Linked DNA regions of Xenopus tropicalis. The protein of the gene in region 2 interacts with the protein of the main gene of each other region in a pairwise test. Links are inferred from orthologs where the notes say so. Each region holds a gene or a part of one and is shown on either strand. Other genes may lie near its edges.

What was found.
Region 1: the proteins of wdyhv1 (region 2) and amot interact in binary tests that used the Homo sapiens proteins (3 or more experiments, as listed by UniProt). The two-hybrid records come from large-scale screens. The link is inferred for Xenopus tropicalis from reciprocal best matches to the Homo sapiens genes NTAQ1 and AMOT.
Region 3: the proteins of wdyhv1 (region 2) and glycogen phosphorylase, muscle form interact in binary tests that used the Homo sapiens proteins (3 or more experiments, as listed by UniProt). The two-hybrid records come from large-scale screens. The link is inferred for Xenopus tropicalis from reciprocal best matches to the Homo sapiens genes NTAQ1 and PYGM.

The regions. Positions count from the first base shown.
Region 1 is NC_030684.2:52,180,794-52,184,449, forward strand, and holds part of amot (angiomotin), read right to left. Parts: intron 1,121-3,656; 5' UTR 1,011-1,120; intron 509-1,010; 5' UTR 472-508; coding exon 1-471.
Region 2 is NC_030682.2:139,829,031-139,832,686, reverse strand, and holds part of wdyhv1 (protein N-terminal glutamine amidohydrolase), read right to left. Parts: intron 1,694-3,656; coding exon 1,594-1,693; intron 1,025-1,593; coding exon 974-1,024; intron 1-973. UniProt on the Homo sapiens protein: Mediates the side-chain deamidation of N-terminal glutamine residues to glutamate, an important step in N-end rule pathway of protein degradation.
Region 3 is NC_030680.2:40,446,526-40,450,181, reverse strand, and holds part of glycogen phosphorylase, muscle form, read right to left. Parts: intron 2,610-3,656; coding exon 2,498-2,609; intron 183-2,497; coding exon 100-182; intron 1-99. UniProt on the Homo sapiens protein: Allosteric enzyme that catalyzes the rate-limiting step in glycogen catabolism, the phosphorolytic cleavage of glycogen to produce glucose-1-phosphate, and plays a central role in maintaining cellular and organismal glucose homeostasis.

The DNA.
Region 1 (3,656 bases), on a different chromosome or scaffold from region 2:
GTCCTTCAGCCCATCATCCTGATGGACTTTTCCTGGACTAACCCTCTGAACTGTTGGACGACCTTCAGTCCTCATTTTCTGATTTGTCACACCAGTTACATAGAAAGCAGCTCCAACGCTGGTGTGAGGCTGTCCTCTAAAATACTGAGACTGGACTTTGGCCTCCTCATAAGTAGGAAGATCTTCACTGTTCTGAGCTCTCAGTGGTATCTGTTTCTCCATCAGATTCTCCACCTGGATCTCCTGCCCTTGTGGCTCCTGGCGAGCTGCATGTGGAACTAACTGGGGGTCTTGTGAGGTCAGGCCCTCATTTTGGGAACCTTGACCACCACCATATAAAGGCACGTTCCCTGTGGCTTGTTGGTGCAATGCCAATAAGTTGCGGTTCTCATTAGGATTCCCGTAACGCAGCTGCTCCTGCAGCAATCGCTGCAAAACTGTGGTGGCTGCTTGCTCTTCTGAAGTCCTCATCTCCAATGTTGGCACCTCAGGCTGAAAACCAAATGACCTAAAACAAATTAATAGTAGTTTATTGCATGAAAGCTACTGCATGGTCTACTGCCTGCTTTAAACTTCCATTATAAAGAAGGTACTGTTTAATTTACCCCATTGAATGTAAATTTTACAAGAAAATTTAGTAGCCAGTTAAATAGGGGTGATATAAAGTAAAGTAGTATTAAGAGGAAGATTGCATTAGTTGCCGCGGGTGACTAATCTCCCCGCAATGCCATCCCACCAGGTAGAATGTAAATCACCGGTGGGATGGCATACACGGGGCCGCAATTTGCCCTAAGCTTCCTCTCAAGGCAACTTCGGCAAATCACGGCGCCGCATATGCCATACCACCGGCGATTTACATTCTAGCCAGTGGGATGGCATTGCAGGGAGATTAGTCGCCCGTGACAACAGAGATTTGTAGCTGCGCGACTAATCTCCCCGTGTACCCCTGCCCTAAGATTAGACCAAATTTCCATCTCTGCTGTATTTACACATTGATTATTTTTTTTTACCTATTTCTGCTCTTTTTCTGCTGTCGCAGACCACCGGCTTGATGTGTTTCTGTTCATGAGGGTATCTGGGGACCAAAAGAAAGACTTCTCAGTCTGTAATATTCTTCGAGCTGTAAAACAAATGTTTGCCTTTTAACAAGAGCAATATAACTACAAAACATACAGGTATTAGAAATACAGAACCATGTGCCAATATAGTGAAATTCTAATCCCACTGTATTTCAGAATTTAATATATTAATGTGATTTTGAATATCATTTATTAAGTCAATATTTATAACAAGAGATGCATTGTATCACACATTATCTACAGATTTGTTCCTGCTGCAGAAGCTCTAGAACAGAGATTCCAAACCTTTTATACCCGTGAGCTACATTCAAGCGTTGGTGAGCAACACAAGCATGAAAATAGTTCCTGGGGGTGCCGATAGGAGCTATAATTGGCTATTTAACAGCCCCTAAGTGAACTGGCAGCCTACAGAAGGCTGTGTTTGGCATTATACTGGGTTTTAATGCAATCAAAATTTGCCTCCATGCCAGGAATTCAAAAATGACGACCTGGCTTTAAGACCATGGGGAGCAACATCCAAGGGGGTAGTGAACAACATGTTGCTCATGAGTCACTGGTTGGGGATCACTGATCTAGAACATAAAATCGAATTATTTTTTGAGTGTGCCACTATTATGCATTCTAGATCAGATATAGACAGGCAGTAGTACATTTATACAGCGAGATTAGTTGTACACTTCTTAACAAATTAACTACCTCACAAGGACCAACCATGGAGTAGCTTTTTTCTTTTAGCTCAATGAATAACAGAAATCATACATTTAAATATAAAAAATGTACTTACTGACTAATTTTGCCACTTGAATTTTTTTTTTCTACCAAGTTTTAAAAATTCACATCAAGGAGCAAAAACACCAGTTCCCTAAATTCAAGTGGATTTCAGACAGACCTACCCCATATCCTATCCTTTCACATATTTTACAACAATCATTACTATGCTCTGAATTAAAGGACATAAAACAAGCTGGAACACTAAAGCTGTCCATACACGTGACATTTGCCTTATTTTTCAGGCATCTGATTGAGTGTACCTTTCTTCTTTGCAAAGGCCAGATATTGGGACAGAGATGATGACATTAGATGACATCAAGGGGAAGTATGATGCAGCTGCCACTAATTGGCTGAATACTGCATCAGTCACAGAGCTAGGTTTTAGACCTCTAAAACCCAGAAAGGTAGTTTAGAAACCGGACAGGTGGCAACCATAGATGGTTGGGATCTCGTGGAATCTACAGTGAGGACATGGAATCAGATGTGACCTATCTCTGCTCAGATAAGGGGAAGACTTGTGAGAAAAAACACAGAGAGGACAATTACTTAAAGGAGCTAAATATTTCAGTAGCGGAGATGTGAAGTGAGGCGCACTATGTTAACTTTATGGGAGTGTGGCATAAAGAAGCCATTACTCTATTTAAGAACAAAGTGAAAGTACATCTGGAGTTTGGCAAAAAGCACAATCGTCCAGATGCAATGTGAGAAAATATGTTTTTGGTCAGATGAGCACAAGATGAGAAATATGTCAGAACAAAACTTCAGTGTAGGATTTATTATTCAGTAAAATGAGAACATTGTTCAACGGTTTACACAGATTTGCAAGGCACCATGTATACATCATATTGTTGTGTTGTGCCCCAGAACTGATCCCTTTTATTCTACTCCAGGCCACCCCTAAGTGAATCACATAACTCTGTGTTTTTCTTCAAGTAAAAAGATAAAAATTCCTTTGATGCTCAGCAAACATGAATTCATTGAGCGCACCTCTGCTTTGAAGTTTATCCTCAGGATAGCAAATGATCCGAGCATCTTATGGCTGCTCGTTAAACAGAAAGCTCCGTGTCCTACTACTAAATTACATTCAGAAGACTAAAGGTGGATTATTTCAAAGCAACACTTTTCCATCCTTGCTATTCACATTACACTAAAGTAACAAAATACCCTATCATGGTTAACCTCTCACCTCTCCACCTCGTAGGACACTGGTTTTGTTGAAACCCCCTGCAACCTTTGCACGTGTTGTCAGGGAACCATGATAAATGAAACACTTCCTGTGACAGCGAGTCTTATTCACAGTCAATAGCTCATACTTAAGTTTACACTACTGAATTATAAATATTGAAGGTTTAGGAACCAGTAAACTATAAGGGACACAAAATAATTTTATTAAAGGGGCAGCATACACCTATATTTGCCTCTTTTAACCACGTGCAAAAATAAACAGATTAAGATGAGAATACATTCTGCCTATACTTTTTATGCATTTTTTGTTGAATTAGTTTAATTAGAGCTTCATAAGGAGTTCTGCTTAAGTAAACCCTCACACTTCTGTTTATCTGTAAACCAAAACAGTAACAACAAAGGGGTAACCTTTGGTGTGACTTTCTAGATCACAGATAAACAGAAGTCCATTATTCAGGTCAGTGCTGTCCAACTTCTACAGTGCCGAGGGCCGGAATTTCTCTAGCATACATGGTAGAGGGCCGCTAATGGAAGCCAGTTTTGACCACCCCCCTTTTTGAAACCACACCCACTTCAAACCACACCTATTTTATCACAATGGTGGTAGCACAGCAAAATCCC
Region 2 (3,656 bases):
GACTTTAGGAAATTAATTAAACTCTCTGTGCCCCAGGGCTATAACACCCTGGAGCAAAATGGTGCTCTTGGGAAGAACTGAGGTGAACAATATTGAGAAGAGCTCTGAAACACTAAGGAGAGCATTTTTGTTTTGGGTGAATACCTGTTTCTGCCAAGCAAACTATTTTCAATAGTAAATGGAGGCAATTGAGAAAGAGTATTTTGACCACCTAGATAATGAAAAATACCACATGCACACCCAGGCCTCTATACTGTTTTTGCTCTAATAAATAGTTTGGCACTAGTTCCCCTTGGATGAGCTTTGTGTGCCAGTAGCCTTTCTTTTAAAAGGGTATTTTGACCACCACCACATTCTGTTCTGAGTTGTAGGGTGACCAGATCACTTGAAAATTCAGGGCCACGTCTAAAGAACCCAGCTAGCAGCACCAAACTGATTGCAGTTGATATCAAATGCAATCAGTGCTGCCCTGCAACATGTATTTATTAGGCATGTCCCTGTTGTCACCCTAGTTTAAAACAACATGTGTGGTATTGGCCTTTAGCACCAAACGAAATGAGACTGCAACTGAATTGTATGCCACCTTTGTTTCCCCCCATTGAATCAATCATGGGTGGACTAACTACTATCCACCTAGTGATGTGAGAGATGCCTCATGCATTCTCCTAAAGCAGCTGCAGTTCTGCTAGCCAGAAGGTTTACCAGCCTAATGTTACAGTTTTACTACTTCACAGGACAGGAACTATACACAAATGAAAAGAAGCAGAGGCTGAAAGAATAACAACATTGTAGAGATTTCTAGGAGCAAAGCAAAATTTTAAGGCCCTCTAGGCCATTGGGTCCTCTAAACACCTGGACCTTCCAGCAGCTGCAGCATCTGCTGTAAAAGTCGTAATATTCCTGTGTATCACCTGTGCACATCAGCTAATACAGATAAGGCAAAATATATTTTCTACAAAGGCTGATTACTCACCCATATTACAGGCCCATCCCCTTTCGCAGATTTCTGCTTCCAAATGGGTATCTGAAAGAAGAACATAGCAATGAGAGTATTCTCACCAACCTGACTTTTTATGGCTTTGTTTCTGTACTTCTGCACATACGTATAATATCTTGCATAAGCCTCCCAAGAACTAATATACAAGCCAGGCATGTTGTACTGCAGGACAGACACAGAAGGAAATGTATTATGTGGCAAACTCTGGAACAGAATATTGTGGAAAACAGCTTACTAGGCCCGAATGTACATTAGTATTCAGGTGCAACTGCATTACCAGGAATAGTATTAGGAGCGGAAATCTGGAGCTTCAGCATCACAGTGAGACCCTTGGGGGGGAAAAAGGATATTTTAAAGTGTATATATTTAGAATATTTGCAGTACATCAGTGTTGCCCAAGCAGCTCTCAGTATCTCAACCCTTAGATTGGGGCTTTACCCTCTCTGCAATGCCCTGATTCTCCACATCACCAAGGCAGGACTTGCACACAGCATCTTGGTGCATCACACATAAAACACAAGGGGCAATTTACTAACATAAGTGCAACCCAGAATGCCCAGTCAGCAATATGTTCTGTATCCATGCTGTCATCTTACCATCTTGTTTTCATTGGATATAAACACAGCTGAGAACTCATCCAGATCACAAGGTCGCTGGTCTCGGATATACTCGCATAGCTTCCACACATTTTCTTCACTTTAAAGAGAGAGAGGAAAAAAAACCTTAGTTTTGAAATGGTTTTATTAGGACTTTTCTTGCAATCTAGTGAACAAAATATTGTGTTGTGTTTAGGCAGTTTACAACACAGCTGTTTAAAAAATCCTACATACAACTCACCATACAGTATATACATCATTGGAGGTTTCTAAGCCCCTCATAGGATTAGCAGAGTGACAGAGATAAGGCAAAGGAAACAATCCAATGGCAGGTTAAATTGTGGGATTTGATGAAAGGTGGATGCATTAAAGGTGGCCATACACAGGCCAATTTTAGCTGCCCATATAAGTCCTTAAGACCATTTTGTCAGCTTATCTGCCCATGTATAGGCACCAACAATGGACCTCCCTGAAATCGGCTAGAGCTCGATCAGGCAGGTTTGATTTTTACGTTAGATTGGGGACCGCAACGGCTCATTGATATGGTCCCCGAACCAACAGTGACTATGCCCACCATTTTATTTAGTCCAATATCACACACCCATAGGTGGGCATATAGGAAAAAGATCTGCTCTCTTGGTGAGCTCATCAAGTGAGCAGATCTTAAGGCTGCCATACACGGGCCGATTCAGCAGCCTATCAGCACTAAAGACAGGCATGCTCGACCGACATCTGGCCTGAAATCAGCCAGATATCGATCGGGCAGGTTTAAAAATCAGTCTGATTGGGACCCGCAGCGGCCCGAACCGACCGACGCCTATACCCATCATTTTAATTCGATCGTTTGGCCCCAGGGTCAAATGACCGAATTAGCCTGATATCGGGAGAAGATCCGATCCACGTCAAGCGATCGGATCTTAGTGTGTATGGCCACCTTTACAGTGTATGGCAACCTTAAGGCTCAAGAGGGAAGCCTGTGTATATGGTGGCAACCCACACAAACATAAGGAGGACATACCAACACAGATTTTGTTTAATTGGAAATGAAAGAGCTTACCAGTGCATAACACTGCGCCCTGTGCTATCATGCTATATGTGATGAGCTACCAAGCTGGCTTTCTCCAAACCTTACTGAAGACAACTTGATAAGGCTTGGAAGATTAGTACATAGGGGGTAGGAGGTGACATAAATAGATGCTGCTTATAACAGGCAGCTGCACTACACTCTTATGTCCCTAAACTACATATACTCTCTACACCAGAACTCAATGAACCTACACCTGTACACAGCAAGGTGACTCTGCCACCCATCAGCGCAGCACTTATCTCTAACCAACTGGCACATTCATTCAGGTAACCCCAAATGTGGCCTGCATGAGGAGTGCCTAAGGGTAAAGACACACTGGGCTACTAGTAGCAGCTACTTTTTCACATCTACTAAACTCCAGAAAATCCCCTGCCATAGACAATAATGAGAATTGCATCTGCTAAAACACACGTAGAGACAATTATCAGTAAATGATCGGCATTGTCTATTTTAGTAGCCACGACAAGTAGCTGCTACTAGTAGCCCTATGAGTCTTCACCCTAAGGGGCACATTTATCAAAATATGTCCCAATACAAAAAAAATCATATTTTTTCGAAAGTTTACAACGTTTGCCTATTTTCTGCAATATTTTTGTTAATTTGCCCGACTTTTTTGTACTTTGCGTGACAAAATTGTATTGTCACAACGAGTACGAAAGCTCAGAAGCTCAAGCTTTGTTATCGTGACTTTCCTTGGGCCGGGTTGAAGCTGCAGAGTGCCATTGAGCCCTATGGGAGACTTTCCTTGGGCCCGGTTGGAGCTGCAGAGTGCCATTGAGCCCTATTGGAGACTTTCCTTGGGCCAGGTTGGAGCTGCAGAGTGCCATTGAGCCCTATGGGAGACTTTCCTTGGGCCGGGTTGGAGCTGCAGAGTGCCATTGAGCCCTATGGGAGACTTTCCTTGGGCCGGGTTGGAGCTGCAGAGTGCCATTGAGCCCTATGGGAGACTTTCCTTGGGCCAGGTTGGAGCTGCAGA
Region 3 (3,656 bases), on a different chromosome or scaffold from region 2:
AATATGATGCCTACTAGTGGTAGAAATAGTTATACAAACAAATATTTTAAATGGATAGGTAAAGTTCCATATTAAGAACAATTATAATAAACCACTTACATTATCATTGGGATATAGAACTCGAGAAATGTTCTCAGCAAGATTACGGTCCAAAACTGCTTGGATGTAACCACCCACGTTAACTGAAAGAAGCAGAAATAAGGCAATCTTTAGACATTATGGATATGCTCAGAAATTTCTATTCACTTGTGATGAACGAATCTGTCCCGTTTTGCTTAACCATAAAAATCGCAAAACGGCAGAAAATTTGCGGAATACATTTGTCGCACGATTTTCAACGCGCCCACAACCAATTTTGAAATGACCGTGCCCAATTTGACACGTGACAAATTTTTTTTATGTGCAGTGAATTTTTCCGCAGCAAATTTTCACGGTCCGCTAAATGATTCGCCAATGGCGAAATGCGGTAATTCGCTGCGAATCCATGCCTGCCGAAAAAAAATCGCTCATCACTGCTATTCACTACTATTGTATGTATGTATGTATATTTTTATTTATAAAGCGCTACTTATGTACGCTATTCAGAAATGCTTTTCTAAAGGTCCTTAAAGGAAAACTATACCCCCAAACAATATAGGTCTCTATAAAAATATACAGGTATGGGATCCCTTATCCGGAAACCTGTTATCCAGAAAGCTCTGAATTACAGAAAGCCCGTCTCCCGTCAATTAATGGAAAGATGTCTAATGGTTTCAAATTTGCCATTTTCAAATTTTTTGATATAGAATTACTAAAAGGTTGCCACGTGTGACATTCTGTAGTGATCTTGACAACCCCCCCCCCCCATAGAGTCACTTACTATAGACCCCTGGCCAGCGCCCCCTTCTTCCAAAAATGCACCAGACCAGGGTACTTCTCTACTCAGCCCTGTGCTGCCATACTTTCCCAGTGCCCCAGTATCATCTGTGCTTGGACAGCACAGAAATTGCTATGGTGCTGATAAGAAAAGTACCCAGGTTGGTGCATTTTTGCAAGACAAGCTAGGGGTGTCTAAAAACTCGACACCCCACAGTCATTCTACGTTTCCTAAGCCATAAACATATGGTAAGGAGCTTTGACTTAATTGTTTTTTGCTAAGACTTTGCCCGAAGACTACAGATAACAAAACTGCCATCTTTTTTTACAATCTGATAAAAACAGGCTTGTAAAGGAGCATGCAAGACATTGCGATTAGTGATGAGCAAATTTTTTTGGCAGGAATGAATTTGCAGTGAAATTCCACATTGTGCCATTGGTGAATTTTTTCATGAAACTACAGAAAAGATTCGCCGTGTAAAAATTCGGTGAGACAAAAAGTTGCTGCAAAAAAAACACCCACTGACTTTAATGCATTTGGAGTAAGGAAAAAAATAAAAATGTTGCCCATGTAAAAAACATAATTTTTTTTTTTAAATTCAAGTTTGAGTTTTTTCCTTAATTCATTAATATATGAGATAATCATTTGTGAAACCTCAAATAGTCACAGAGAATCAGAGAAACAAACACAGTAATTTTCATGAAAAAACCTGGCAAGTTTACATGATTACTCTGTACAAGCACATTAGAGGGGAATATAGGCAGATGGGGGGTGTTTTTTTTCCCTTAAAAACGATCAACGCACAAGAGGTCATTTGAAGAGCTTCCATTTGAAGCAGCGTAGGTGGTTTTTCACGGTGAGGGCAGTGAGGTTGTGGAATGCCCTTCCTAGTGATGTGGTGATGGCAAATTCTGTTAATGCCTTTAAGAGGGGCCTGGATGAGTTCTTGAACAATCAGAATATCCAAGGCTATTGTGATACTAATATCTACAGTTAGTATTAGTGGTTGTATATATAGTTTATGTATGTGAGTGTATAGATAGGTAATTATAGGTTGTGTGTGCTGGGTTTACTTGGAAGGGTAGAACTTGATGGACTCTGGTCTTTTTTCAACCCAGTATAACTATGTAACTATGTAAGTAAAATTTGTCTATTTTCTACAGAAGTAAACAAACAACTTTATTAAACTTTAGTTTATTAAAACATTCAGGATTTTTAGGCATATTGAAAATAAATGGAACATTGTGATTTTTACTTGTATGCTATTTTTTTACACTTACTTTTCTTGAGTCTTTTTTTAAAATAAGCTACTACTCAAGGGGAAGAAGGCATTGCTTAAAAAAGATTGTGTGGGTTTTCTCAGGTTTATTTTCAAAGGTTTGTTTTCTCAACCTTAGAAATTGGTAAATCAACCTCCCCATTGGGCTTTTACAAATAGAAGCATCTACTTTTTGATATAAACCAAAGAAAAGGTTAAATAGTCAGAAACACCTGAATTTATATTGAATTCTAGGCATACAGTATATTTATTGATTTAAAATGATGAAACAGTAAAAAATATAAAGGTACAAAAGTATAACATAGCAAGCAAATATTATAGAGGGGATGTGTTAAAGCATAGATATTGGTTCCTCCACTTACAGTCTTTCAAGTTGAACTCATTGGGAGCTTTTGCTGACCAAAGTCTCATGGTGTTCACTGTATTGTTTTTGTATCCTGGAACTGGTGTATCATATGGGAGTGCAAGGACAACCTGAAAAATGTTACAAAAGAAAAGCAACTGATCCTAGTGCTCTAGTGGTAGCTACTTATCAATGTCTATATGACAGGCATGAAGCAGGATGCAGCCAAATACATGATATCTGGTCTTTATGTATTTTGGGCATATGTTTTTATGGCCACTATTATACTAACCCCTTTTCATCTGCACCTTAAAGGGGATCTAAACCTAAGAAAATAAAGTGGTGTAAACACAGTTAAGCCAATAGACTGGTATGAAAAGTATAAAAATGCAAATATCTCAGAAACTCCTAAAATAGAAGATGAATGTAACTTGCAAAGGTTCTCACAGAAGTGTTATAATTCATTTTTTGGGTTTAGATCCCCTTGAATGTCAAAACTTGGTTACCTTTAAGTCTCCATAGATTTGTATTTATGTTACACAAATCTAAAGAAAACACAGTAATTTGGATTAGAAACTTACAGCCTGGTGCTGGTTCTTCCTCGAGTGCATTATTTTGCATTGTTTGGCATTATATTGCCATTTAAAGCACTTGCATACTCCTTCTGACTTTATACTACATTAATAATTGCAAAGCTCCTCTACAAGGTCAATTTATCAAAGGCTGGGATGAAAATTGTGTTCGAAGAAATTTTTTTTCTTTTTTCTTCTTGCAGATTACATTTTTTTTCCTGTTCAACAATTTTTCATACAATGTCTTGGTGGCATATTTGCAATGAAAAAAATGTAGCAGCTAAAATGTGCTTAGGTCCATTCAAACTAATAGGCAGATTTTGTCTCTTCAAATGGAAATCTTTCTGTCTCTCCATTTATTAGAGAATTCTCATGAGCCATTGAGATTTCTTACGTTGTTTTATCTCTAAAGTCTAAAAGAACCGTGTGCAATGCAAGAAAACCTTGTTTGACCGTTGTCATGCTAAAGAATTTCAAGCAACAAATTATATAATGGTGAACGAGTTAAGACACACCAACTGTTGCACCAATTTTAACCAACAAATATTGCAAGGAATTTCCATAAATCTCCCCCTTAGATGGCCATACACAGACAGATTTAAAGAC